Linked DNA regions of Canis lupus familiaris. The protein of the gene in region 1 purifies or fractionates together with the protein of each later gene. This does not show direct contact. Links are inferred from orthologs where the notes say so. Each region holds a gene or a part of one and is shown in the gene's direction. Other genes may lie near its edges. The genes, in order: LSM4, SART3, PRMT5, WDR77, PATL1 and MEPCE.

Evidence for each region.
Region 2: the proteins of LSM4 (region 1) and SART3 purify together in Homo sapiens (affinity purification with mass spectrometry; 4 studies listed by BioGRID and IntAct, counting the BioPlex papers as one, with this or other methods). This does not show direct contact. The link is inferred for Canis lupus familiaris from reciprocal best matches to the Homo sapiens genes LSM4 and SART3.
Region 3: the proteins of LSM4 (region 1) and PRMT5 purify together in Homo sapiens (co-immunoprecipitation; 3 studies listed by BioGRID and IntAct, with this or other methods). This does not show direct contact. The link is inferred for Canis lupus familiaris from reciprocal best matches to the Homo sapiens genes LSM4 and PRMT5.
Region 4: the proteins of LSM4 (region 1) and WDR77 purify together in Homo sapiens (affinity purification with mass spectrometry; 3 studies listed by BioGRID and IntAct, with this or other methods). This does not show direct contact. The link is inferred for Canis lupus familiaris from reciprocal best matches to the Homo sapiens genes LSM4 and WDR77.
Region 5: the proteins of LSM4 (region 1) and PATL1 purify together in Homo sapiens (co-immunoprecipitation; 4 studies listed by BioGRID and IntAct, with this or other methods). This does not show direct contact. The link is inferred for Canis lupus familiaris from reciprocal best matches to the Homo sapiens genes LSM4 and PATL1.
Region 6: the proteins of LSM4 (region 1) and MEPCE purify together in Homo sapiens (affinity purification with mass spectrometry; 3 studies listed by BioGRID and IntAct, with this or other methods). This does not show direct contact. The link is inferred for Canis lupus familiaris from reciprocal best matches to the Homo sapiens genes LSM4 and MEPCE.

What each region holds. Positions count from the first base shown.
Region 1 is NC_049241.1:45,114,723-45,119,852, forward strand, and holds the start of LSM4 (U6 snRNA-associated Sm-like protein LSm4), read left to right. Parts: upstream 1-1,588; 5' UTR 1,589-1,674; coding exon 1,675-1,677; intron 1,678-5,130. UniProt on the Homo sapiens protein: Plays a role in pre-mRNA splicing as component of the U4/U6-U5 tri-snRNP complex that is involved in spliceosome assembly, and as component of the precatalytic spliceosome (spliceosome B complex).
Region 2 is NC_049247.1:18,687,085-18,691,677, forward strand, and holds part of SART3 (squamous cell carcinoma antigen recognized by T-cells 3), read left to right. Parts: coding exon 1-45; intron 46-989; coding exon 990-1,128; intron 1,129-1,597; coding exon 1,598-1,705; intron 1,706-2,135; coding exon 2,136-2,213; intron 2,214-2,331; coding exon 2,332-2,390; intron 2,391-3,286; coding exon 3,287-3,396; intron 3,397-4,593. UniProt on the Homo sapiens protein: U6 snRNP-binding protein that functions as a recycling factor of the splicing machinery. Promotes the initial reassembly of U4 and U6 snRNPs following their ejection from the spliceosome during its maturation.
Region 3 is NC_049229.1:3,369,881-3,374,350, reverse strand, and holds the end of PRMT5 (protein arginine N-methyltransferase 5), read left to right. Parts: intron 1-149; coding exon 150-259; intron 260-574; coding exon 575-668; intron 669-845; coding exon 846-962; intron 963-1,173; coding exon 1,174-1,238; intron 1,239-2,069; exon of another isoform or gene 2,070-2,595; coding exon 2,596-2,748; 3' UTR 2,749-3,151; downstream 3,152-4,470. UniProt on the Homo sapiens protein: Arginine methyltransferase that can both catalyze the formation of omega-N monomethylarginine (MMA) and symmetrical dimethylarginine (sDMA), with a preference for the formation of MMA.
Region 4 is NC_049227.1:41,098,532-41,102,674, forward strand, and holds part of WDR77 (methylosome protein 50), read left to right. Parts: coding exon 1-41; intron 42-2,952; coding exon 2,953-3,023; intron 3,024-3,149; coding exon 3,150-3,204; intron 3,205-3,691; coding exon 3,692-3,763; intron 3,764-4,143. UniProt on the Homo sapiens protein: Non-catalytic component of the methylosome complex, composed of PRMT5, WDR77 and CLNS1A, which modifies specific arginines to dimethylarginines in several spliceosomal Sm proteins and histones.
Region 5 is NC_049239.1:37,560,055-37,564,647, forward strand, and holds part of PATL1 (protein PAT1 homolog 1), read left to right. Parts: intron 1-638; coding exon 639-736; intron 737-1,530; coding exon 1,531-1,590; intron 1,591-2,575; coding exon 2,576-2,724; intron 2,725-4,204; coding exon 4,205-4,364; intron 4,365-4,593. UniProt on the Homo sapiens protein: RNA-binding protein involved in deadenylation-dependent decapping of mRNAs, leading to the degradation of mRNAs. Acts as a scaffold protein that connects deadenylation and decapping machinery.
Region 6 is NC_049227.1:9,182,400-9,187,757, reverse strand, and holds the start of MEPCE (7SK snRNA methylphosphate capping enzyme), read left to right. Parts: upstream 1-2,180; 5' UTR 2,181-3,168; coding exon 3,169-4,848; intron 4,849-5,358. UniProt on the Homo sapiens protein: S-adenosyl-L-methionine-dependent methyltransferase that adds a methylphosphate cap at the 5'-end of 7SK snRNA (7SK RNA), leading to stabilize it.

The sequences.
Region 1 (5,130 bases):
AGGCAGAGGAAGGAACCTTTGATGGTCACCCAATTGGTAATTACTTGATGAGGTGGATTGAGTAGTGCCCCTAAAAAGATATGTTCTATTATAACACGGGTAAATTCTAATTCCCGTTCCTACAAATAGGACCTTTTTGGAAATAAAGTCTTTACAAATGTGATTAAGGATCTCAAGATGATATTATCCTGGATTTAGGGTGGGCCTAATAAGAGAAAGGAGTGTCCTTATAAGAAAAAGAGAGGAGATTCCTGGGTGGCTCAGTGGTTTAGCGCCTGCCTTTAGCTCAGGGGGTGATCCTGGAGTCCCAGGAGGGGAGTCCCACATCGGGCTCCCTGCAGGGAGCCTGCTTCTCCCTGTGCCTGTGTCTCTGCCTCTCTCTCTGTGTGTGTGTCTCTCATGAATAAATAAAATCTTTTAAAAAGAAAAAGAGAGAAGACTTGAGATAATGAGACTCACAAAGAAAGCCATGTGAAGACAGTGGCAGAAATCAATATTTCTGGGTGCCAAGAACTATGAGGATTGCTGACAAACACCAGAAGTTGGAAAAGATGAATGGGACAAATAGCCACTAAGAATCTCCAGAAGCAATCAACCCTACTGATACCTTGATTTCAGACTTATGAATAAAGCTCTATTTTTTTTTTTAAGATCTTGTTTATTTGAGATAGCAAGCAAGAGAGAGAGAGAGCACAAGCAGTGGGGAGGGGAGGAGGAGATGGAGAACCACAGAGGCTCTCCACTGAGCAGAGCCCCACACAGGGCTTGGTCCCAGGACCCTGGGATCATGACCTGAGCAGAAGTCAGATGCTTAACAGACTGAGCCACCCAGGTGCCCCAAATTCTGCTGTTTTAAGCCACCCAGTCTATGGTAATTTGTATGGCAGCCCAAGGAAACTAACACATTTGCCTATTTTTTTTCCTTGCCACCTGTCTTCTCAACGGGCTCCTAAGTCCCAGGAGGGCCAGTTTCGTCTGGTTTGTTCACTCTGTGTTTCCAGGAACAGACACCTAGCAGGTGCTCAATAAATATTTATCACACGCCTGGGTACTAAGTGCTTTTACCTAGCTTAACTCCTTTCATCCTTACTACAACCGAGGGTAGACACTATCACGAGGCCAATTTTCAGAGGGGCAAACTGAGGCTCAGAGGGGCACAGTCAGGATTCCAACCTAACCAAAGGACATGCCTTGGATAAGGATCAACTACAATAACGAAAATCAAAAGTGTAGGAGCCCTAAGGGAGACATTAGGCACAACCCAATAACCACGGAGCCTCGATTTCTTCCTTTGCAAATTGCAGCAATATCCGGCTTTGCCCACAGCGCGGAGCCCAGGAGGGCTGAGAGAGTTTCACCCGCGCATGCGCCTTTACCCATAAGGCCCCCTGCGCTGGCGCACGCGGTTCCGCCCCCGTTTTCAGCACTCACGTCGACACTTTACGGCCTCTCATTTGGCCGGCGAGAACACAGCCAACCTCGCCCGTCGTTGTCTAGCCGACCCCCCCTACTCCGCGTGGATTGGCTGCTCGTCCCTCGAGCCCCACGCTGATTGGTTCGTGTCGCTGCCACTTCATTTCAGCCTAGTGGCGCGCGGCAGGGCGGCTACCGGCGGCGCGTGAGTGGCGGCGGCGGCGGCGGAAGTGGTCGGCGAGCCCGCTCCCCGCCGACACCATGGTGAGGGCAGGGCGCCGGCGAGGTCTCTTCGGGAGGCTGGGAACGCGGCGGCCGAGGGCCCTCGGGGCGGGCGCTGCAGGCAGGGGCGACGCGGAGCTAGCGTGCTGTCAGGGCCTCGGTTCTGCCGCCTCGGCCCGTGACGGGCACACTGAGGCCGGAGAGGGCAGGGAGGTCTCCCAGAGCATCCAGCCTGTCAGTCTCGGGGGGAATAGACTTGGACGAACGTGTAATCCTAGGTCAGCCTCGCTGCAGTCTTCCCATTTTGCAGATGGGGATACTGGGGCCTGAGAGACCCGCTAAAGGGCTCGGTGAATGCTGCAGAGGGAGTTCGGGCAGGGGAGTGGCTCCGAGTGCATCCGACCCAATCTAGCTTCACATATTGGGAAGTGGGAGCGACCCGAGGGGGCCCGATCTGAGTTCTCAAACTAAACCAGTTTGAGAATGTCAAGATTTGCAAGGCCCTTAGAATGTTAGCACGATCTTCTACGCCTCTCGTTTTAAGGCTGAAAAAAATAGACCCAGAGAGGGGGCTTTGTCTTCTCCCTGGATCACACAGGGTGTCGTTTCCGGAGAAGGGGAAGCATTTTGAGCCTGGAGTGGACTAACTGCACCCTCCCATTTCACTGAAGAGAAATTGAGGTCCTGGTGAGAAGCCTCTTCTGGATCATGCTGTTATCAGATCCTGAAAGTTCTGGATTTAAGTCAGAGTGTCTCCTGCCTTCAGTGTCCAGACAGGGAGGTGCGTCCGGCTGGCTCAGTTACAGAGCCTGCCACTCTTGATGTCGTGGTAGTGAGTTCAAGCCACACGTTGCTCGTGGAGTAGAGCTTACTTTTTTTTTTTTTTTTTTTAATGTATAGACAGGGAAACAAGACCACACAAATTCAGAGCAGGCCTAGGAGAGTACCTGGCCCATCAGCACCAGAGTCCCTCAGGGTCCCTGCATGTTTCTCAGCTGAGGGTTGCACTAAGTACTGCTCACTGGTGCAGGAAATGAGAGAAGGGAGTGTAGTGTGTTCCTCTCTGCTGGAGGGCAGAGGTGGCCTGAGAGGAGGGGTGGAACTGGAAAATTCCTTCTTCCTTAAGCTCCCTGGATCTTTGGATTTTATCCCCCAGTATGTTCCTAGAGCCTAGAACAGTGCTTGTGCAAAGAACATATTTTTTTTCAGCCTGAAGAATGTCCAGGAAGGGACAAGGCATGACACACTCCCAGTTCCCCGTGGGTTATAGTGGGGCCGGAAGCAGGGATCTGAGGGTATAGGGGGGCAAGGGGGAGTCCGTAACAGCTTCCTGAATTGGGAGCCTCAGGAAGCCATCGGGTCTAATCTTAGATTGGTCTAGACCTGAGAACCAGATTCCAGACATTCTGAAAAAGGCCAGGGGAAAGGATGCTTTTTCCAGAAGCTTTTGACTTTCCCAACTCCAGGTGGCCCTGTCTTCCCTGGAATGGTGTCCTGGCTTGTCCCATCTCCCTTGGCACCTTCAAAAATTTCTTCCCCACCAAGTTTTTTAAAGTTCTCAGGGATCTTCCCCTTCCTCTTGCCTCTGTCTCCAGCAGTTTGGGGATGAGAATCTCAAAAATGGCAAGATGTGGACCCTGCTCCCAGCCTTTGCAGCCGTAGAGAGCTGTCCCTCCCAATGCCGCCTCTCCTTTTCTTATCTGTGGGGTGGGGCAGGCATCCCAACCACACCATGTGCCTCCCCGGATGGTGTATGCATTTTCTTGTGTATTTGTTCAGCAAATATTTACTGAGTCCCTCTCGAGTGCCTGGCCCTGAGCTCGGTGTTGGACAAAGTCCACACCCTCTGAATTTTCCAGTCTAGCCAGAGAGACATAATAAACAAGATAATTAGAGACTGGCTGTGTCCTAGAATGGAAGCAGCAGGGGGTGGCCCAGGTGGAAATCTTGATCCCCAGATGAGGTTATTATGAGGGCCTGGCTAAGCTAGGTGAGAGGTGATATGTGAGCAGCCACCAGCCTGAGGAAGGACTGCTGAGGCCAAGGGAACTGCAGGAACAAAGGTCAGAAAGCTGGACTGGGTGTGGCTTGCTGGAAACCGAATGGGCCACTTTGGCTGGAGCTGGCTTGGCCTTGTGACTCCTTTGGGGAGTGGATGTGCAGGGGAGTGTTGGGAGCAGGTGTGGATCACTTCTGTGTCTTAGATGTCCTCTCTGCTGCTTTCTGAATAGGGCACTGCCCGTGACAGGGAAGCTGGGGTTCTCCAGGACTGTGCTGCCAGTTGCTGGGACAAAAGAGAGGCCAGCAGGGGCATAGAAGCTGCACATGCCATAAAAGGACTCCTGTGGGTTTCCTGGTGACAGGCTTCAGCTTACTTTTCGTGGGCTTCCCCAGGATCTTGCTGTGGTGTCCCTGGGAAGGTCCCTCCTGCTCTGGCTGCTAGTCCTTCATCTAGGGGGACCTTGGCTATACCTCTCTGTCTCTCAGTGCTGAGTCTGTCTTTATTCTTGCCTTCCAGGCCCAACCTTGCTCTGTCCCCTCTTGGGTGATCTGGAAGGAAGACCCAAGGGTGTCATTGCCATCCTGGTCCACATTCCCATCTTTGACACAAGAAAACAGGCTTGCTCGAGAAAGCCTGAGACTTCACCTAGTAAACAGCGGCCGAGGCTCATGGCCCCCGTGTGTTAGATCCTCCTGCTTTTCCGTGGCTCTCTGTACCCGGGTACCATCGCACAGATGAAGTCCAAATGAGAGGGCAGGAGCTGCAGGTTGGCTAGGTCAAGCCCTGGCCTGCTCGCCTGTCCTCCTTTGAGCAGCCACGCCTTCTCCACGTGGCCCTTTCTTCCTTTTTATCTTGCCCTTCCAGGAAGCCAGTGCAGGAAGTGGGCTTGGGCCTGGCTTCCTGCCGGCACTGGACCGCTCCTAGGCTGCTGTTCTCTGGAAAGGCTGTGGGATGTGGGAATTCCCCTCCAGCCTCTCCATGGAAGCCATCCTGTGGGGGTTGAGGACCACTTCTAGCCTCCAGTCCCCACCACCTAGAGAAGCAGCTGCCCTGCACTAGGTAGGAGTGTGAGGGCAGGCCGAGACTCCCCTGCAGCGAGCTTCTGGGGTTTGGGCTGACTAAGAATCCCAAGGAAGCCAGGACAAGGAGCAGTGAAGCTACCATCCTGCCTGAGGCAATGTCTCATCTGTAGGACCCTCACTCAGACCAGAACCTTCATTCAGCTTTGCTGGATGAGTAGTCACTCAAGCGCTACCACTGGAATGGCCTTCCTGGAGACTGGCCCCAGTGTATGGGTCATGATTTGTGTTCCCAAAATGAAATGATTTTTTAGTATCTTGAAAGCTGACTTTACAGTGGGTGAGTTTTTAAAAAAACGCATCTTGTATATGCCATCACTTGTAGTAACGACAGATTTTTTTTTTTTTTTTTCTGGAATGTTTCTTCCCCTTACCTGATGAATTTCTCTGAAACCTCAGCTCAGAGGTAGCCAC
Region 2 (4,593 bases), on another chromosome or scaffold:
AACTGCCTCGTCCCAGACCTGTGGATCCGCTACAGTCAGTACCTAGTAAGACGACTTGACTGTTCTAACTTACCTCCTTGCTGATTGAGAATCTGTTCAAAGAAAAGTAGCAGGAGTGCCCAGAGTTAGTTGTGTGCCACCCCCTCTGCTTCCCCCTTTCCTCTCATCCTCCTCTCACCTCTGCCAGCTCAGTTTTTCCAGTGTTTCAAGTCATTTCAAATTGATCGCTAACTGTGAAAAAAACTTGCACAGTCTTGTTACTGAGGACTTTCTGACAGATTAACTTTTTTCTTGTAACTTTTCAGTATATAAAAAACATAAGCATTAGAACACAGATTATAGGGTGAAAAGCTCCTGGACCCGTCTCCTAGCTCCAACAGTTAACTCATGGCACTAGTCTGTTTCGTTTATATCATTAACCCTCTTCCCCCTTTCGTGTGATTTTTGAAGCAGAGCCAGAAATCACATTTCTTTGTAAATATTTCAATATGTGGATATAAAATATTTTTTTTATGTTTTTTTTTTTTTTAAGATTTATTTATTTGTTTATGATAGATACAGAGAGAGAGAGAGAGAAAGAGAAAGAGAGGCAGAGACACAGGCAGAGGGAGAAGCAGGCTCCCTGCAAGGAGCCCGATGCGGGACTCGATCCCGGGTCTCCAGGATCACACCCTGGGCCAAAGGCAGGCGCTAAACCACGGAGCCACTCAGGGATCCCCGATATAAAAGATTTGAATCAGGATCCAAACTAGGTCCATCCATTCGGATTGGTTGATGTCTCTTAAGGTGTTTTCATCTATACATTCCCCTCATTGCATCTTTTCTTGCCCCATTCCTTCTTACAATTTCTTTCTTGAGGAAACCAGTCCTATGAGAGGCATTTCTAAGGAGATTTCTTTTGTTAGCTGATTGTGCTGGAAATGTCTCATGGATGGTGAAACCTGTAACGATAGCATTTGATCTCCTAACTGTGGACTTCTTTATCGTAGGATCGGCAGCTGAAAGTGAAGGATTTGGTTTTATCTGTACATAATCGTGCTGTTAGAAACTGCCCCTGGACAGTTGCCCTGTGGACTCGTTACCTCTTGGCCATGGAAAGACATGGAGTTGACCATCGAGTGATTTCTGGTGCGAATGTTTTTGTGGGAAGAGTCTTAGGCTTTCTGTTCCAGGCCAGACACATAGTGCTGTGATAGTCATTAAATCAGCCTTCCCTGGCTGGTTTGGGATATTGGGTATTAGTGACAAAAAAGGCCCTAAGTGGGAAATAAACTGGTTATAAGCTTTTATCATGCTAACACTTATTGTGATTTTCCAGGAAGTGGGAGTCTTTTCTCCAAACTTACTTGACCTGGAATTCTTTTAGTGCAGGGCATCTTGTGGAACGTGCCCTTTCTAGAACACAGTTCATGCAAATCCTGTAGGAGCTTTTCTGTTGAACCTTTCTCTCTAGCCCATTTCACTTTATTGCATCTTGTCATTATTATTAAGTCATATAGTATTTGATAGTCAGTGGAGGCTTTTGTAACAATCTTGATAACTCTTGATAACTTCCTTTTGAATTGGTAACAAATCCTGGCTTTTTCTTCAATTCTAGTGACCTTCGAGAAAGCTTTGAGTGCTGGCTTCATTCAGGCCACTGATTATGTGGAGATTTGGCAGGCGTACCTTGATTATCTGAGGAGAAGGGTTGATTTCAAACAAGGTATTTATATTCACATGTCAAATTCAGTTCTTAGTTTTTTCCTAACATGTTTTGGTGAGAGTCCTAGTTGCCCAAATACATTATGATTAGGCAAATGATGTAGACCAGCCATTGACAACTGTTTTCCCCCAGAACTTTTAGCTACATAAATCCTTAACCAGTCTTGCTGTGAATTGTAAAGGAAGAGTTAGGGTCCTTATATTTTATCCTGGCTCCTGCCAGCATTTTCCATACTGTGCTTTCTGTTCTAGTGTCTTTCTCCCCAACTATGTGATGAGGGCAGGGACTGGCAATTCTATTTCTGTGTCCCCAGCATGATGCCAGGTGCATAGCAGGCTCCCAGGAGTTTCACTGTAGGATTAAACAAACAAACAAAAAAGACATGGTATGCGGTTTCCTGAAGCCAATCCTCTCTTGCAACTTCTAACAGACTCCAGTAAAGAGCTGGAAGAGCTGAGGTCTGCATTCACTCGCGCCTTGGAGTATCTCAAACAGGAGGTAGAGGAGCGTAAGTGTGGCTTCACTCACTCCTTGATCCACTTGTCTTTCCTCTTGGTGGATATGCCTTCTCAGAGGCTGTTTGTCTCTAAATTCATTTCTAATTGTGACTAATTCTGTTCTTCCAGGTTTCAATGAGAGTGGAGATCCAAGCTGCATGATCATGCAGAACTGGGCTAGGATCGAGGTAAGTGTGTTTGACACATCTGTCTGTGACATCCACCTTTGAAGGACATTTGTGTAATAATGTGGCTAACATTGAGTCAGAATCCTAGGTGATGGTCTAGGGTCTCTAAGAGTTTGTGTTCTATATCTAGCTTGATGAGCATTCAGCTGTTTCTTAAGAGAAACACCAGTACTTGGGTAAGAACTTATGCAGCAGACATCGGAAATCCAGGTGTTCACTTGTGGACCGCCCCACCCTGGTGCGTGGTTTGTGAGAGTATACTGGATGTGTACTATCTGGCAGGCATTATACTGTGTGCTGGGGAAATGAGGTAGACCTGCTCTGTGCTCCTAAGTCTTGAATGTTGTGTGGGAGTCAGAAATTTGACAAATAATTAGGGAATAGATATTATTGTTGGAGCAAGGACCCCAAGTGACTAAGGTATGGAACCTGCTCTTGATCAGCTCACAGAACTGTGAAATTCTAATCATGTTTTATTTTCTGAGGGGGAGTCAGGTCAAAAAAACAAATATCTATCAGGTTCAGAGAGGTTCACTTGTCCAAGTCACTTAAATGGCAGAGCTAGGACCTACCTACTCCTAGATCAGTCTTTCTCTGCATTGCCTCTTGGATTAAACTTTTGTAGTAAGCTTGATAAAAATAAAAACCTGTGGGCTCCTGCTCTTAGCTCTCATATAGTATAGGCCAACAGCTTGAGACTTGTCACCTCTAAAAGCCGGAAGTGGTTGAGCTGGGCCTGTTGCTGTGCAGTGCGGCTGGGGAATATCCAGGGAGTTACAGAACACTGATCATCAGTGGGGGGTTTTAAGGCACTTCTGTTCAAAGTATGTTTTGTAATAGGTGCCAACGTTGCAAGTTTTGAGTCTTTCCTAGTGGAGCCTATTTATGCATTTTAGGCTCGACTGTGCAATAATATGCAGAAAGCTCGGGAACTCTGGGACAGCATCATGACCAAAGGAAACGCCAAGTATGCCAACATGTGGCTCGAGTATTACAACCTGGAGAGGTAACCAACCTGGGGGCGGGGTTGGTGGTGCTTATCAGGGGTCAGCTGTTGTGGGTCCTGGCTGCCTCCTGCCAGCCTGGGCTTGCTCCTCCCCACAGGCCTTGGGCCTTTATCCGCCTGTCCTTCATTAGTGGCTATATGTGTACTGGGCGAGGTTAGGAAACTAAACCTAATATTTTGTGTCCAGGCTTGTTGTACAGCCAAACATTTCTTTTAGTTTGTTATTTTGGTTTGTTTTGATTTTTGGACCTGAATATTTTATTTGAATTTTTGGAGAACTATTTTTTTATATTGGTTTTGTATGTAAAAGTAGAAGATATTAAAAAACAGAGAAAAACCCCAAATTATCTGCATCTATAAATCCAGAGATGTAACCCCTGTTAGCTAATGGTTTTTGAGATTTTTCTATGCTTAATTTTTTTTAAAAGAAAATGCAATGACAGAGTACATGTTACAAATTTTAAAAGTTATTTTAAATAAATGAGACATGACCAACTGTTGTTAACATGGGGAAGATGTAAAGAATAAGACCATCTTTTCTACTTATTGTATCTTGAACATTGCATGTCAGTAAATGTATTTCTGTATACTTTTTTGGGGAATATTTTGTTTTACCCCCCATTTAAAAAAAAAAAAAACATGCTCAAATTAAAATAGAGCATTTGCCAAACTATGTGGTAGAGAGTGAAAGTTCCTTAGCATCTCACCCCCAGAGATGACACTATTAAAGCTTCTTGAATATTGTTCTAGGTCAGCAGTTCTCAAGCTTTTTGTTCTCAAGACCTGTTATACTCTTAAAAGTTTGAGAACTGTAGAGAGCTTTTGTGTATGTGAGTTGTATGTATGTAATATTACCATATTAGAAAACTGAGAAATTAAAAATTGTCACAATAGTAAATTCATTACATTTAACATAAAGAATATATTTTGTGTGTTTTTCAAATTCCAAAATAATTTAGTGAGAAAAGTGGCACAGTTTTGTAGTTTGGCAAGTATCTTTAGTCTGGCTTGGAAGACAGTTGGATTCTGATGTCTATTTATGCATTCACTGTGTTGTGAATTCTCATTGAAGAATATGAAGAAAATTTGGCTTCCTGCAGATAGGATATTAAAGAAAAGGGTATTTTAACCTTTTCAGATAATTGTGGATATTTTTTCACACTAGGGCAAAATTCAGCAAGTGGTAGTTTTTTAAAT
Region 3 (4,470 bases), on another chromosome or scaffold:
TGAGATCAAGAGTTGTACATTTCACCAGCTTAGTAACTTAGCTAGCCAGGTGCCCCTGCCTGGGTCTATTTGATGTGGGAGCTTTAAACCTTCAGTTAGACATACCATTTTCATCCCTTCGGAACTTATATGATCCTCCTGCTCTGCAGATGATGGTGTGAGCATCCCTGGGGAGTACACCTCCTTTCTGGCTCCCATCTCCTCCTCCAAGTTATACAATGAGGTCAGAGCCTGTCGAGAAAAGGACCGAGACCCTGAGGTAAAAAGCCACTGTCTTCTGCAGAGCTCTTTTCTTTTTAGTCCTCTTTTTTTTTCTTTTTTTTTTTTCCTATATTAGCATCAACTGTTTGCTTCCACTGGAGAAAATGAAGAGGTGAAGGAAGAGATGGGGATGTGGGAAAGTGACTGAAGTGAAAATATTTTTATCCTTTTCTTTTTATTTTTTTAATTTTTTTTTTTTAATTTTTTTTTTTTTTTTTATCCTTTTCTGTGTCCTGGACGCCCAGGCTTCTTTACCTGGGGGAGTAGATGTCTTGCCTATCTGCTTCAGCTCTTGCTCGGTCTCTTGGGACAGGCCCAGTTCGAGATGCCTTATGTGGTGCGGCTGCACAACTTCCACCAGTTGTCTGCGCCCCAGCCCTGTTTCACCTTCAGCCATCCCAATAGAGGTGGGTTCCTGTGTGGCTGTCCTCTTGACTGGATGGCTGAAAGCTTACTTTGTGGTTTCTTCTTTTGCGATCCTGGGTCTACTCTCTCTAAGCTGCCCTTGCTAGTTCTTGTTCTTGCTTTACCAAGTTGTCTAGAGCTTCTAGTCCCTTGTCATCCACGCAACTCCTCCCTAACAGATCCTATGATTGACAACAACCGCTACTGCACCTTGGAGTTTCCCGTGGAGGTGAATACAGTGCTACATGGCTTTGCAGGCTACTTTGAGACTGTGCTTTATCAGGACATCACCCTAAGTGAGTATCTGGGGCCGAGGATGGCACGCTATGAGTATGTTATCTGGGCAACTTATGTAGATGTTTCATTTAGAGTCACAGGGAGCCTAGGAATCAGTGAATGTGGATCTTAGGTTACTTGTTTCTCTGTTCACAGAAGACACTCCCCTCAATCCAGGCAAAAAGAAGAGTCACAGAGACCTCAGTTTTTTTCATTATTTTTTTCACACAGGTATCCGTCCAGAAACTCACTCTCCTGGGATGTTCTCATGGTTTCCCATCCTCTTCCCCATCAAGGTAGGAATCACCTTTCTTTCTTTTTTTTTTTTTTTTTAATTTTATTTATTTATTTATTTATTTATTTATTTATTTATTTATTTATTTATTTATTTATTTGAGACATAGAGAGGCAGACACAGGCAGAGGGAGAAGCAGGCTCCATGCAGGGAGCCCGATGCGAGACTCGATCCTGGGACTCCAGAATCACGCCCTGGGCCAAAGGTAGCGGCTCAACCTCTGAGCCACCCAGGAGTCCCAGGAATCACCTTTCAGACTCAGTGGGTTAAGGTGTCACTTTTGCCATTGGTGTTCTGCCCCTTTCCTACTCTCAGGATGATGCTTGACTATGACCCATGTTCTGCTCCCACATGCTCGTGGATCTGTTGTAGGTGTTGAGATGTTTTTATTGCCTTTCTCCTTGGCTTTCCCACATTTCCTCTGTCTATTCTGTCCAGTCTTTACCTTGAGCAAGAGTCATCTTTTAATCTGATCATAATTCTGTACTGCTTAAAACCTTTCAACAACTTTGGGGCTCCTGGGTGGTCCAGTCAATTAAGTGTCTGACTCTTGGTTTTGTCTCAGATTGGGATTTCAGGGTCCTGAAATTGAGCCAAATGCTGGTGTTGGGTTCTGTGCTAAGCGTGGAGTCACTTGGAATTCTCTCTCCCTCTCCCTGTCCTTCCGGCTTGTGTGTCTCTCTCAAATAAATAAATCTTTAAAAAAGGAAAATACCTTTAGTGACTTCCTACTGCCTTCAGAATAAAGATTTAACATTGTAAGACTCGGTGTGATCTAGTTTTAGCTTGTCTCTTCAGCTACTATCTCCTTGATTACACTGTGTCACCCCTGTGGACCTTTTTTTTTTTTTTTTTTTTTTTTAATTGAACTATAATGAACAGTGTTCTGTTAGTTTCAGGTATACAACATAATAATTCAGCATATCTGTACATTACTCAGTACTCATCAGGATTCTAATACAGTCTTCTTTCCTGCCTCAGGTTTTCACACTTTTCTCCTTTGCCTGGAAAGTTCTTTGTTCATCTCTTCACCCATTTAACTTACCTTCCTGGTCCCCTTAAACATTCCTCTTGTCTGGTAACTTTCCCTGACCAACAGAACTAGGTTTGAGTTCCGTCTCATAGGTGCTCTTGTAGTGCATATCCTCTGCATGTTCATGGCCCTCATCACACTTTTGATTTTCTGTTCAATGTCTGATTGTGAAGTTCTGATTATTCATTCTGAAAGACTTCAAATAAACTTCATGAGGATTGGAATGTCAGGTTTTATCCTTTTCTCTCCACACTTAGCTCAGTAGTATATTGCCATATACAGTTCGTTAGTTCTACCTTAAACTTCTCTGTCTTTCTTCTTGCAGCAGCCCATTACAGTACGTGAAGGCCAGACCATCTGTGTGCGTTTCTGGCGATGCAGCAATTCCAAGAAGGTGTGGTATGAGTGGGCTGTGACAGCACCAGTCTGTTCTGCTATTCATAACCCCACAGGCCGCTCATACACCATTGGCCTCTAGCCCTGCCTACAATGTTCAGAGCCTTGGAAGCAGCTTAAAGTTCCGCTCCTGAAGCACAGAGAGTGCAGTACATCTGTGGGCTGTGATTCCCCTTTGCCCATCAGAGCGGAGCATTTCAGTCTGCTTTCCTGCCTTACAGCAAGGTGGGCAAAGGATGAGAATTAATTGCAGGGCTCAGGCCACCAACCTGTAAAGACTCCAGGCCAGGGAGGGAGGAATTTGTGCTGGATCTGAAGCTACTCCAACAGGCACTCAGCCTCAAGTACTCCCTGGAATAGCCCTGAGAACATGTGGATTAAACACATTTTCATCCCTTTCCCTGCCCATCTCTGTTTCTGTTTTGATGGTTTTGTGTGGGAGGAAATACAAATAAAGTGAAGTTATCAGCCTTTTCCTGCTCCAACTCTGCTGCCCTGCGCCTTTGCTTTCTCACACCTTACTTAAACCTAGGCATATTCAGATCTGTGCTTTTATTCAAGACCCAAAGGATCTTTGTTCTGTATATAGGAAGCTTAATGGCCACTCTTGGACTCCTGGGTGTAGGTCTTTGGGACCAGCTGCAAAGAGGTCCATTAAGATCTGTGATTAGGCTTTTCTCTGGGGAGAAAAGATTGCCCTCGTGGAGAAAGATGGGAGTAGTGAGTGAAGCCAGCTTCCCTTCCGCTTTCCTGAGCTGCTGCACTGCCAGCTACCTCTTGGGAGGAAAACTGGAAGCCATTCAGGCACCTCCAACAAGAAGCCACCTATTTTATTTGAATAAAGTCACAAGGTTAGAGTTTGAAGTTGTAAGAGTGCCAATTCTCCATTTTATACAGGAGGATTTGAAACTGACACAAAGATATATAATATTCAAATCAAGACTGGAACACAGATCCTCTAACCCTGTGGCTCTCTCAATGATCTAACCAGTTATGTTTCTGTCAGCTAACATATTGGGCAACTGAAGTGTGAGGATTCTGGATCCCCTTGGAACGTGAGAGTGGACATCAGTTCCTTCTCTTTCTGGTTAGAGGACTGAGTATTGCTGTACCCAAGGAGTCACCTGAGAAACTTCCAGGTTTACTTTTGCAGTGCGAGGTGTGTAGCTGTGCTCGCTTCGGCAGCACATACACGAAAAATTGGGAAGTGTGTAGCTGTGGAACCAGGCAATAACCACAAGAGAGTGTGAAATTAGACAAACGTGACAACACTTGTGTTTTCCCGGGCCCAAGCACAGAGGGTAAGAGGAGATAGTTGGGAGGGCTGCGTGGCCAGCACGCTCAGAAGGGGAAAGTCCAGCCCAACATCCTTCCGGGCGGCGTGAAACAAATGCAAGTGCTCGCCGTGAAGCTGTCGCGGATGAGTACGACACGTGACCCTTTTGGGAAATCAAGAGTAGAGAGTAGCAAAGAAGTCCATTGTACCTCCTCGTTGGCTCCGCCCACGGCGTTGGCCTTGTCACCTGGAGCTCGGGAGTAGGCAGGAGGGTCCTTGCTGGTTCTTCGCCCGCCTTCTCCGCCTTCCGCAAGTCATCTAACCAATGAGAGAGCGATGGGCGGCCGCTATTAGGACGCTTCCACTCTCCGAGAGGTTAGCCAATCGAGGGGAACTTAATGGTTGCTAAGAGACATTTGAGTTTGGCTCCACCCATGCTTAGGGTTTTGGCCAATGAAAATCTGTACTTTGGACTGTTGCCGCGAAACCAGGGAGATTAGTTCCACCGCCTGAATGTCTCGGCGCCTG
Region 4 (4,143 bases), on another chromosome or scaffold:
TTGGGACCTTGCCCAGCAGATGGTACTGAGTTCATACCGGGGTAAGTGCACATTCTTTTTAATCCTGGCCTTAGCTGTTTTGTTTGTATTCTCCCCTTGGGCTCTTTGAACTTTGGGTGTTAGGGGCAGCAGTTCCTTGCCCTTTCTGCTTTATAGTTTTTTTCCAAAAAGTATATCAGGCCCCAGTATCTGTTCCATGCCTTTTCTTAATAATTTTCCTGTTTCTAGTACTGGCCTCCCCATCTTTTGGCCACATGAGACTCCAGCTCGAAGGCAAACTTTTCCACCCCTCCTGCTTCCTCACCATCAGTGGGTTCCCAAGTCCTTTGACATTTTTTTCCACCTGGTCAGTGATCTCCCTTTCCATTTCTGATGTTCCCTTTTGCTTCCAAGTTTTACTTCGCACTGATGGTGGCACTCACCTCATCTCTCCATCTGCAGTCCCTCACCTTTCATGATTTGCGTGGCTTGTGGATTAATATCTCACTTTCTTGTTATGGCAGTGGAGCCCTTCTATCTCTTGCCCTGTAAATAAAAACTGGTCTAATCAAACCCAGCCATAGTAGAGCCTTGGCATTTTCCACGTATATACTCTGAAACTTGTGAATCTTGCACTTTTGAATATTCACTTCCATAAAATTTGTTTTCCTAGTGATAACCGTCACTTTCTATTAATGTTATTATTATTATTATTTTTTACTTTCATCAATAGCAGTAGCAGCTGACTTTATTCTTAGAGCCATTCTCTATGGAGATGATGTCTAGAGCATTAATATGTGTGTGGTTAAGAGATATAGATGCCAGGTAGTTACCTGGTTCACTCAATAGCTAAGTGCCATTCCCTGCCAATTCTAATTGCAAAGTGTATGATTCATATATGTGCCAAAGCAAAAAACTAGAAACTCCTACATATCCTGGACCTTCACTATTTATAAATCTTAGACTCTAGTGGGAGTCCAAGATTTATAAATAGTCAATGTTAAAACACTGATGCCTTTTGTTTTTTAGGTCTATGAGGGATTTTCCTGGTCTGCACTAACTCCTTCAGCACTTTTTCCATTCATAGTATTTCATCAGTTCTTTGTATTTCTGTCTTACTCCCCCCACTGAATTGCACATCCCTTGAGGGCAGAGGAACCACTTTTTATCTTTTGTATTTTCCCATGGTGCTTGTCTCTGAACTTTGCTTTCAAGTGAGTGGTCAATTTTTTTTCATTGTGTTGGCTTTTTATGGATTCAAGGGCTAGGGAAGAACTATGAAAGGTGGTTGGATTACATCCTCCTGTCTTGGGCAGAGCCATATTCAGACTATCTCCAGTAGCCTGGTAAATGCCTTCAGAGTAGGTGGTTTCCACAGCCTGTATGCATCGTAGGGCAGTGATCTTTAAAGTTTTTAGCATGTAGCCCTCCTGAAAATTTTTTGAAAAACTATCCTCTCACACATTTTTAAATTGGCATCTAATTTAAATTTAAATAGTTGCAAAGGAGGTACTTTCTGGCCATATCATTTATTGTGCACTGGTTTCAAGCACGTGTTGGTCAAGATTTTGGATTTGCAGTTTAAGTCCCTGTAACCTCTGCCAAATGTCTATCAAATAACCTAACTGGCTAAAAACCAACCTGCTTTGTTAGGCCAGCTGGCCAAATTAGACTCAACCTTCTTTTTTTCTTTTCCTTTTTTTAAGATTTTGTTTATTCACGAGAGAGAGGCAGAGAAGCAGAGATACAGGGAGAGGGAGAAGCAGGTTCCATGCAGGGAGCCTGATGTGGGACTCGATCCCGGGACTCTGGGATCACGTCCTGGGCCGAAGGCAGGCACCAAACCGCTGAGCCATCCAGGAATTCCCGCATCTCAAACTTTAATGTACCAAAGGATTACCCGAGTGCAACTCTGGGGTGGTCCTGAGACTATTTCCTAAGAAGCTCCCAAATGATACTGATGGTGCCGGTGTGCAACCATAGCTTTGAGTAACACGTCAGTTTGGTTTTGATTTTTACAGTGATTTTTTTTTTAAGATTTTATTTCTTTATTCATGAGAGACACAGAGAGGCAGAGACATAGGCAGAGGGAGAAGCAGGCTCCATGCAGGGAGCCCGACAGACTCAATCCTGGGTCCCCAGGATCACACCCTGAGCCAAAGGCCGACGCTCAACCACTGAGCCACCCAGGAGCCCCTAGACTCAACTTTCTATCAGAAAAGGTCTGACTTCATTTTTAAGTTCAGTTAAATTTGTCAGATGTGTCCTCGGGACATTATCTGTCATAGTTCTCAAAATTTTCATTGTTAGGCAGAAATAGAGTCCCAGAATACTCTAGTTGCTCGTGGTGTGTTGTGGTTTGTGGTAGCTGAGACAGGGCCAGCTCCTGCACTGAATTTTGCCGAGATGCTCTTTGGCTCTCAGGGAAAAGCCCCTTTTGTTTAATACCTTAGGGTTTCAGGCACCTGGGCATTGTACCGTGGTGAGATGTGGGGTGGCTGAGAAGTGCGTGTCTCTTCTAAAACTGGGAGGAGGGGAATGTAAAAGAGGAGGAAGGAAAGGGGCACTGGCAGACTGGAAACTTCTCAGTTCAGTTTTAGGAAACAGAACTTTGGGAAAGTTTATTTCTCTAAATGTGTCAGTGTCCAGACCTCCCTTGAAAGTTTCTCTATGTTGTCTGGAGGTGTGTGTACTAAAATCTGAAAATTGCTATTCTGGGATGTAAATTCCTTCACTCTTGTTGCCCAGCCCCTGATCTTTCTTCCTTTGTCTTTACTAATTCATTGGCTTCCCCATGCCTTTTTAGCTTTAGAACTCCATCAACATTTTCTCTTAGGTTTTGTCTGATCCAAAATCTCTCACAAAATGTGTTAGATTGCATTCATGAAATAAGGGGTCCCTTGGTGGTATCTGGGCTGCTTGGTAGTGATGCCTGCAGCTTTTCTGTCATGCTTGCCTCTCTCTCCTTCACAGCTCACTCTGGGCAGGTCACCTGTGTCGCAGCCTCTCCCCACAAGGATTCCGTGTTCCTTTCATGCAGTGAGGTGAGATACAGCCTTTCCTTCCCTCCTCACTTCTAACCACACTCGAACCCTCTGGCCACAAGTCTAGTGTGGAGGCCCGCAGCTGCTTTTTGGATTGTGAAGCTCTTTTCCTGTTCCTTCTTCTAGGACAACAGAATTTTACTCTGGGATACCCGCTGTCCCAAGCCAGCATCACAGATGGGTGAGTCTGAGAGCCGGTGGTGGGAGGGTGGTAGTAGGAACCCACCTGGAAGAGGCTTCCTGGGCCAGAGACAAAGGCAAGGTCACCAAATGCTCAGTCATTGTGGCATAAGAGACATAATCACTCACTCTCTTTCCCATTGAAGCTGTTGATTCCATTGTGTGCAGTGGGTACCAAGATGATGGGTTGGTTCGTGGGTGGCTGATATACTTTACGTTTCTGGGATGGGTAGATAAAGGGGCCAGAATTGTTGCCTTCATGTTTTATACCTGAAACCTGCCTGTGACTAGTGTCCAGAAAGGACAGGAGAGGCTGAAGGATAAATGAAGGTATGAAGATTGAGGGCAAGGACACAACTGCCTTAGCTAGCAGGGTTTGAGAAGGCAAATTAAGGTGATTCTGGGATTTGGAGTGAATTTTGTTTGAGAAGCTCCTTCCCAGAGCTGGGCTCTAAGTCTTGTTTCAGATCCCTCTTCTCTCTTTGCAGGCTGCACTGCCTCTGGCTACCTTCCTACCTCCCTGGCTTGGCATCCTCAGCAGAGTGAAGTCTTTGTTTTTGGTAAGGCGGCCTGTCACACAGCGTTTTGATTCTGGGAAGGGGGAGGATGAGAGCACGCTGACCCTGTAAAGCACAAAGCCCTGGCCGCTCAGTCTCACCAGCACACCTGAGCATTATGTAAATTCTGCCAGTGGTGAGGTGGGAAGGTGGAATGATCCAAAAGTGATTTTAGTTTGACTTTGCAAAATGTGATGACTTTTTTCCTGGTAGATTTGATTCCTGAGTATGTGCTTCAGCTCCTATGTTTTGGGTGCAGCCAGAAGTCAGTGGATCACAACAGAACAAGTGGATTGCTACGTAGAGAATTCTGTTGTAGAGTGGGGGTAGCTCTCATGCTCTCACAGCGATGAGGCTGTACCTGTGATGACATAGTTTGTGGT
Region 5 (4,593 bases), on another chromosome or scaffold:
TGCCTTGGCCCATAATAAAAGAAAATCAACATGCTGTAGATACAAGGTAGAAATAACTGTATAGATGACTGGCTGTAGAGATGTTCAAAGCTCATTTATTGTCCTTAAATGCAGAGGTCAGCCTTCATTGCAGTACAGAATCAGTGGTTTAGCAGATAGACTTGTAGATCCTTTACTGCTTGAGGTTCCTTAACTTTTTAAAACATGTTATAATTTCTAGTATCCCTATAATAAATGGGAAATACTTCAGATTTTTATTGATTATCCTTGCAACCAAAAAATGGGAAAAGATTTAGGTAAAACATCACATTAGATACATAGATTTTGGGGATCCCTGGGTGGCGCAGCGGTTTGGCGCCTGCCTTTGGCCCAGGGCGCGATCCTGGAGACCCGGGATCGAATCCCACATCGGGCTCCCGGTGCATGGAGCCTGCTTCTCCCTCTGCCTGTGTCTCTGCGCCTCTCTCTCTCTCTCTGTGACTATCATAAATAAATAAATAAAAATTAAAAAAAAAAAAAAAGATACATAGATTTTTGTACTGAATTGTTAGGCTCTGAGTAAAGAATAGAGAATATAAAGGTCTTTGAAAGCTGCCTACATTGCTAAGTTATTTGTCGGAAATGTTCTGTCCTTGCAGTGCAGTTCGAGGGCTCTTTGGGAAAGCTTACTGTCTCCAGTGTGAATAACCCCCGAAAAATGATTGATGCCGTTGTAACATCGCGGAGTGAGGATGATGTAAGTGTCAGCAGAACTGTGTTCAAGAAATGCTGGGTCAGGTCATCCCTACTCCCTGGGGGTCATTGTGGGAGGGAATCAGGCACAACAGAGTTGTTTGTTATCTAACTGGGAGCTTTCCTCCACCGCACCCCAGCACATCCTGGCATTCTGGTTTCCTGCGGGTGGGCTGAAGTGCTAACACCTTCCTTTTTAAGGCAGCTAGGCCAGACTCTGGGTGGCAGGAAGTCTTTACACTGGGTCACTGGCTGCAAATAGCATTGGCTGTTTATTCCAGTTTTTAAAATTACCATTTTCTATGTGTTTTAAGATTTTCTTGTGATTATCTTCATCTTCACTGCATTCTACGATTACCTTTTTATCCATCTGTAAACTCAGTTTGGTAGTCTTTGTGGGTGAATTCAGTCAATTCTATGACCTTTGTCCAGTTATCGTTGTTTAGATTAATGTTTATTAATTAATGTGTAAGTTTCTCTTACAGTCTTGTCACAAATGAACTATGCACACTTAGAAAATTGTTTTTAGGGGATCCCGGGGTGGCTCGGCAGTTTAGCACCTGCCTTTGGCCCAGGGCGCGATCCTGGAGTCCCGGGATCGAGTCCCGTGTTGGGCTCCCAGCATGGAGCCTGCTTCTCCCTCCTCTCCTGTGTCTCTGCCTCTCCTCTCTCTCTCTCTCTCTCTCTCTCTCTCTTTCTCTCTCTGTCTTATCATGAATAAATAAATCTTAAAAAAAAAAAAAAAGTCTTTTTAACAGAGATAAAGAATTCACACTGAATAGTCTTGTCTTTTTTTAGGAGACAAAAGAAAAACAGGTTCGGGACAAGAGACGAAAAACCCTTGTCATAATTGAGAAAGTAAGTTTTAGAATTTGTTGTTGTCGTTAGTTCCAAATAAGGAACTGTCAAATATATGTGTACACAAGAAGTGGAAAAGTAAGCAGTCGGTGTGCTGTGATTTTAATTAATGAGCATATTCTTCTTACATGCCTGTTGTATACCAGAACACACTAGAAAGGACGTGCTGTGCCTCACCTATGGCCTTGTGGAAAGAACACTGCAGTTACAGTGACACGTCCTGGGTCTTTGTCCAAGCTTGTTCAGTTAACTGCTAAGTGTTTGCGGTCAGGTCACCTTTCTAAGAAAGTGAAAAAAATTATATTATTCCACCTGTGAATTGAGTTAATTAAGTCAGTTCACAGGTATTACTGGATATCCCCTGGATGCTGGGCACTGTGCTGGATGCTAAGAAAAATGTGGTCCTCATTTGGCACTTAGTTTGTAAAGTATAAATAACAGTGTTGCAAGGCCATAGGCACAGTGAGGAAGGGCACAGAATGTGCAACCACACTGCAAGTCACATCGTCTTCATTTCTGAGTCTGTGACTCGAGGCAAGCTACTTAATCTTTCTGTGCTGTCGTCATTTTCTTTATCTGCAACAGTGGAGACAGTAATAGTCTTTTTTCAGACCGGGTTGTGAAGAGCATCAGGTGAAACGAGTATGTGCACCCAGGAGTGAAATTATTGCTGTGTTTATAGATATAAGGCACACCTGAAGCAGTGATACAAGTCATTTATGTTACAGTGCTATTCTTGCTGCTGGAAAGTTTTCAAAGTACTGTCCGTTCCATCCTGGTTAGAAGTCAGGAGGGACAACAAACAGGAATTCTTTAAGTCCTTTCACTCTGTTTTTCTGGATTCAACAGCACCTTTTTCCTCTCAGTCTTACTACAGTTTGTTTCCACTCTTTGTCTGTACCTGGTGGTCTTAAACTCTCAAATTGTTTATCAAATACTCCGATCCTGACCCAGCATGCTGTCGCCTGCTTTGTGTCTCACTTAGACCTATAGTTTACTCCTGGATGTGGAGGATTATGAAAGGCGGTATCTCCTAAGTCTAGAAGAAGAGCGACCTGCCCTGGCGGATGAAAGAAAGCACAAAATTTGTAGCATGTATGACAACTTAAGGGGGAAATTGCCTGGACAAGACAGGTAAGAATTGTACACTTGGAGTGACACGTGAGACCAGCCAGACTCCTCACTTGGCTGACCTGAGCTTTCTACATGTCTCTCTCTCAGATACCTTCCTTACCATCCTGGGAAGCTCAGAGTCTATCCTTCTGGCCTAACTCAAGTGCCATGTCATACAAAGCACTTCATAATCCTTCCCAGCCAGGAAAAAAAAAATCTCTTTTTTCCAGATTCATTTATTCATCACCAATATATTTCCTACCTGCTAAGGCCTATGCTGGGCACTGCAGATATGGTGGAGAACAAGATATGGTTTCTGTGTTAGAGCCTACAGATTGTGCTTGCTTTATGCTTTACTGTAGCAGGTTCAACCTTGTAATCTTTGTGTTATCTTTTTCTACTGAGATGAAAAGTTTAGACATTTATATTCTCTTGGGATTTCCATAGAATGCTCATATGCTATGGAAGCCAATCAATCTTCCGGTGGGGACTATGCTCCTTAATATAGCTGTTTATCTGTATCTGTCATCTCTCCCATGCAGGATCTTGCTAACAGTAAATGTTCTATAAACCCAAAGTGTTTTATTTGATGAATGCAAGAGGACTCTGTCCTGATAATTTCCTTTCCTTTGCCCATTTAAGAGAATCGGTGATTATTCTAAGCCAGAACACGCACAGACCAGAACATAAAAATAAGCACCCTCTTTTCAGCACACCTTTTCTGGAGTCAGGTTGACATACAAGTGGTTGAATAAATGTAGGTTTATCCATAGTTTGAGATGTTATGCAGCCATCAGATCAACGTAGTTGAAGTATGTTTATGGAGATAGAATATTGTCACAAGAAGTTGTTGAGTGAAGAAAGTCAAGAAACAAAGCTGTGTGAATTCTCTGGATTTTTTATTTTTTTTAAGATTTTAGTTAGTTATTCTTGAGAGAGACAGAGAGGCAGAGACACAGGCAGAGGGAGAAGCGGGCTCCATACAGGGAGCCTGATGGTGGGACTTGATCCTGGGACTCCGGGATCACGCCCTGAGCCAAAAGCAGACGCTTAACCACTAAGCCACCCAGGAGCCCCATTTTTTTCTTTTTTAGTGAAAAAATATACAGCACAAATGTTCTTAAATACGATAATAATATAAAGTTAATTCTGAAATGATTGTTTTTATATCCTTTTTGCTTATGTATGTTTTCAGATTTTGCCGTATCAACCATGTTTTTTGTTTAGTTGTATAACACATAAAGGAAACGAATGCATGTAGTTTGAACAAGTCTTTTTAATGTACATCTGTGAAAGGACAATTTTCTACATTTGAGAAACTTGAAAAACGACTTGTTAATGTGTGGTTGAGAGTTGGAGAAGTAATTCTCACTATTTTGCAGCACAGGTCATCTTAGGGTGAAAACGAGCACAGCATATTCGTTCAGTAACATGGAAGAGGAGAAAAAGGATGTCTTCAATTGTTCTTGCTGACCTAAGTGAGCATTTCCTTCCCCCGCAGGCCAAGTGATGACCACTTTGTACAGATCATGTGTATCCGAAAAGGGAAGAGAATGGTTGCCCGTATTCTTCCTTTCCTCTCCACAGAGCAAGCAGCTGACATTCTCATGACAACAGCCAGGAATCTCCCTTTCCTTATCAAGAAGGACGCACAAGACGAGGTGATCCCCCATGTGGGACTTCTTTCCTTTGGGTCTTCATAGTTTATAAGGTTTCTAGAATCCAAATTTCATTTTCTCCCCCTCCTCATTTCTGCTGTCTTATCTAACCTTCAGCAGTAGGATTTGATTATTTAAAGGAAAACTCCAGGACTATATTTTTAATCCCACTTTTGCTCCAGTAGACCAAGTTCCTAAACCAAGGAAAGCAATAATCCCATCTTAATTTGAC
Region 6 (5,358 bases), on another chromosome or scaffold:
TTCTGAGACCAAAAAGCTTGAGAACTGACCTAGCTAAATAATTCAGTCATGTCAATATTTTTCAAAAACCATTAACCCTCCTCCCTCCCATTTAGAACGTGTTCACAAATTTCTAACTATCTAATTGTTCCCTCTTTATACTATTCCTGGAATCCTTGGTCTAAGAGAATACAAGTAAACCCTTTAGAATTTTCCTCAGACACACAGTCTGCGCAGGCTCCGTGAGCCTGGAAAACTATATTTAAAATCTTTCATCTTGGAGTCTGATTTCCTTTTGGCATCAATGTCTAATGGCATGTGGATCCCTGCTTATTTTTTATGCCCCCATTAATAACCATAGTGGGTTTTTTTTTTTCTTCCTCGGCAAGCATGATTTCACAAGAAAAAAGGTAAAAACAAGATCCCAGCTCCCTTTACTGCCCATTATCTAACAACATTTACTGTGGTAACTACGAACTAAACCTTGTACCAAATCTCTTCAATATATTTTCGGTGAACTGAAGCTTATCCGTTCAGAGGGCAAGGAAGCACAAAGATATGGCCACTTAGCACCAAAATACAAGTTTTCTTTTGTGGGGGCTGATTTCATTCGGACTCTTATCTGCCAGCTGCAACACTGCCACTGGTGCTCGTTACCAAAGTAACTCGCCTTTGTGTATTGGTTTCACTTAAGCACATTCCCACGAACCCCTACATGCCTGCACCATTTCCTCTCACAAGGTGCCATGGTCTGGAACAGTAAAAACCCTAATTCCGCCTTTCAAACCAGAGGTAAGAACTTCTGGAGATCCGCATTTTCCCCGCTCTCTTCCCTCACCAACTCTCTCTTAAGGACGGTAGTTAAGATCGGAGGTACCAGAGTCCAAGTCCTTGATTCCCCTCAGTGGATAAAACAGGGGGTTGCTGCAAGCCTCTCTTCCACCTCAGGAACCGCCACCATGAGATAACTTCCCGTTAGAGGCCCGACCGCACCCCCACCCCCGGGGGAGGCACCCGTATTCTCATTCCTGCTCAGCCCGTCACTGGCCGCCAGGATACTGGGTCACTTTTGTTTGTTTGCGGAGGGTAGGTCTGCGGTGGAGATTCTTAGGAGGGGTAGGAGTTGGTTGTCCAGAAGAGAAAATTTCTCCTCAGGCGACGGGTACCAGGACTGGCAGCGCCTAGCACTTTCATCTGCAACCGGAGAAAAGCCAGCTACCTTCTGGAGCAAGGAGGACCTAAAGGCAAAGAGCAGAATGAGCCACTGCAGCAATTCCGCAAACCCCTCCAACCTCGACCCAGTTTTCCCGCCACAAAGAAAAGGCGTGAGGACACGCACTAGCTGCGCTGCCACCCCCGCGGCGTGCATCCAAAACTGGGGCGCATGCGCAGCCGAAACTGCTTCTGCTTTTGCGCAGCTGTTCTATCCGCCATCTTCCAGCCGAATGCCCTGTAAAACTACAAATCCCATAATCCTCAGTGTCCTCACTTTTTTTTTTTTAGGCGGCGGGAGCAGCGCCTGATCGTTCATGAAGCACATCTGTCTGTTACTAACTTTTCTCTCTACCCCAGACTGCTTTTTCCTTCCTCTTTTCGTTTCCTGGTTCCTATTCTTCCTTTTAGTCTCGTTCACGCCCTATCTTGATGTTTTAGTTGAGACTATCTGCAACCCCACTGTCGCCCCTCCCGCCTTCTTCTCTGCCACAGGACCCGCTCCCCAAGCTATGTTGGCAGGGAGAACGCGCCACCTTAGCACCCTGTGGAAAGGGCGCCGAGCAGCTTCTTCCCCATTGGCCGAGGCAGGGGGCCCAAAGCAGGCCGAACCCTCTTCCCCGCCCACACTCGTTTTTATATAAGGCTGCGCGAAGAGAGCGTGTGCTTGGGAAGGCCTGCGTGCGAGGTGGCCGTGGTGGTGGCGAATGTGCTGCTATTGGTGGCTGCGGTGGGCGTCGGGACGCAGTCGGCGGGCTAGGGGCTCGCGCGCAGGCGTCGGGTGGTGGGAAGAGGTGTTGGTGCCAGGGCTGTGGGTGTGGAGGCGGAGAGGAGGGCGTGGTGTCCCCAGGTGATCGCCATTGGGGTAAAGCGGAGGAGCGAGAGAACGACTCGGCCATTTCGGGGGAAGAGGAAGTTGGACAACATCGGCTGTTTTAGTGCCTTTTTTTTTTTCAGTTCAGCAGAGACTATTTCCCAGGGGGGTGAGTTACAATGACTTATTGTATTTTACTGAGAACAGTTCGTAGGCAAGCCGTCTGTACGCTCCTCTCCTTCCCTTCCTCTACTTTTAGGTTCACCCCTCCGTTCCTTCGGAAGCCTTTCTAAGTAGGTGGGCAAAGGGGGCGATCGAAATATGAATAATTCATGAGGCCCGCCCCACTCGTTGACCACGCCCCCTCCAAACCGTGCTGACGCACGTTGCGTGTACCAAATCTAAGGAAGCGACGTAACAGTCTCCGCCCCTAGGGTGGAGGGAGGGGCGTCATCTCCAGCACGTGCTGTATCTACCCGCGCAAGCCCAAAAGGGTGTGCGCAGGCGCTGCCCGCTAGGGGGAGGAAGGAGGCGGGGTAGGGAGGTTGCTGGGTTTAGAGCCGGGCGGAGACCGCTGAGACTCATTCCTCAGGAACAAGGGTCGGGTGTCAAGGAGACCTTTTCACACCAGCTCCCCGTCCCCCGCCTACGGTGGGTGGGATCGCGCGGCAGAGACAAAGGATATCAGTAGGGACGGACATAGCTGCGAAGGGAAGTAGGGTGTCAGTTTGGGGTGGTGGGCTTTTGTGGGGGCTGAGGTGGGCTATATTTAAACTCCCGGAGCCGTTAAGTTGGTTCGTACTCATGCGCGCGCAACCAGGGTGGTGGCGGAGTGCGCATGCGTGATTCAGGGGCGAGAGGAACGCGCTTTAGCAGTGCGCGCTCGCGGCGAAGCGGTAGTGGTGGAGGAGAAAGGCGTTGGCGCACGCGCGGTTGATTCCTGGAGTTGTTCGGTTCTCGCGGGCATCTTGTTTTGGTCTCGCGGGCGAGTGGGGCGCGCTTCGGGGGAGGCGCTTGGGCGCGAGACTAGGCGAGAAGAGCAGAGCTGCGCGCGCACTCAGGGAAGGGGGGAAGGGAGCGGGCTCTAGGGAGGGGGGTTAAGCCCCCTAGTTCTCCCCCCCCCCCCCCCGTTGCCCTCAACTGGGACGGAATAAGGGGAGGAAATGATCGAGATGGCGGCGGAGAAGGAGCCGTTTCTGGTGCCGGCCCCGCCGCCGCCGCTCAAAGATGAGTCGGGCGGAGGGGGCGGCCCCACGCTGCAACCTCACCGAGAGGCCGCCTCCGGGGAGCTCTGCGGCGGGACGCAGCGTGGGCCGGGCCCGCGCACACACTCGACGGGGGTCCCGGCTTCTGGGGTCGGCAAGGAGAGCCCTGGGGCTACATCCACTCGGGGAGGCCAGTCGCAGCAGCAACGAGGGGGCGGCCCCCAGGCGCAGTCTCATGGGGAGGCCCGCTTGTCGGATCCCCACGGGCGAGCCGCTCCCCCTGACGTTGGGGAGGAGCGAAGGGGAGGAGGCGGAACAGAACTGGGTCCCCCTGCCCCTCCTCGACCCCGCAATGGCTATCAGCCCCACCGGCCCCCTGGGGGAGGTGGGGGAAAGAGGAGAAATAGTTGTAACGTGGGAGGGAGTGGTGGAGGCTTCAAACATCCGGCCTTCAAGAGGCGCAGGCGGGTTAATTCGGACTGTGATTCTGTGTTACCCTCCAACTTTCTCCTGGGGGGCAATATCTTTGATCCACTGAACCTGAATAGCCTCCTGGATGAGGAAGTGAGCCGCGCACTCAATGCAGAGACCCCTAAGTCATCTCCACTTCCAGCCAAGGGGCGAGATCCAGTGGAGATCCTCATCCCCAAAGATATTACTGACCCGCTCAGTCTCAATACTTGCACTGATGAGGCCCAGGTAGTTCTTGCATCGCCACTCAAGACTGGTCGGAAGCGGCATAGACATCGGGGACAGCACCACCAGCAGCAGCAGGCAACCGGAGGGAATGATAGCCACTCTGTGCTCCCCACAGCCCCCCTCACTCCCTCACTCCATGGGGAGGGCACCCCACAGCAGCAGCGGCACAGGGGCCAGAACCGGGATGCCCCTCAGCCCTATGAACTCAACACAGCCATCAACTGCAGGGATGAGGTCGTGTCTCCCCTTCCATCTGCCCTCCAGGGTCCCTCAGGCTCCCTTTCAGCCCCTCCAGCTGCCTCAGTTACCTCTGCAACCCCGTCTTCCTCCTCACGACATCGCAAACGTCGCAGGACTTCCAGCAAGTCAGAGGCAGGGGCTAGGGGTGGAGTCCAGGGTCCCAAGGAGAAGGGCAGAGGGAGTGGGGGAGGCCGTCACCACCACCACCACCACCTCCACCTCCACCCACTACCTGCAGCAGTCTTCAAAAAGCAACAGCTCAAGTTCCAGTATGGGAATTATTGCAAGTACTATGGTTACCGCAATCCCTCCTGTGAGGATGGGCGCCTTCGAGTGTTGAAGCCTGAGTGGTTTCGGGGTCGGGACGTCCTAGATCTGGGCTGCAATGTGGGCCATCTGACCCTGAGCATTGCCTGTAAGTGGGGCCCATCCCGCATGGTGGGTCTGGATATCGATTCCCGACTCATTCATTCGGCCCGCCAAAACATCCGACACTACCTGTCTGAGGAGCTGCGTCTGCCATCCCAGACTTCTGAGGGGGACCCAGGGGCAGAGAGTGAGGAAGGGACCATAACCGTCCGAAAGAGAAGCTGCTTCCCAGCCTCACTGACAGCCAGCCGGGGTCCCATCGCTGCACCCCAAGTGCCCTTGGATGGAGCAGACACATCAGTCTTCCCCAACAATGTTGTCTTCGTCACGGTAAGAGGGTCTGAAGGCTCTTGGTATAGGGGCCAGGTGTGAAGATGAGATTAAGTGGGAATAAGACAGGAAAGTTATGACCCAGAGGGATTTCTGCATGTACTCTGCCAGGAGAACCAGATCTTCAGGGATCTGAATCGTGACTGACAGTGTCTCCCCCCGCCCCATAACCTGGAAACATGGGGGCTCTACCTAGGCTCCTTTGTCATGACTACTGGTCCCAAGATGGGGTTTGACTCCTTTTGCCCTGCTCCTGTCCTGGACTGTAATCCACACCAGTCCACCTTCCCTTGCAGGCTGCTCCTGCTGCTCACTAGATTTGGTTCAGTTGGAAAGTTTTCTCAACGCACTGAATGCAGGTGCATGAAGGGATAGGTGTCAGACATGGAATGTTTTGGGGTGGGAGGAGGAATAGGGTGGTGGCTGACTAATACTTTGATAGGGACTTAGATCCAGAGTTGGTTGAAGAGTTGGTGGTCAGGACCCCAAGTAGTTTGGCCATAGGTCATC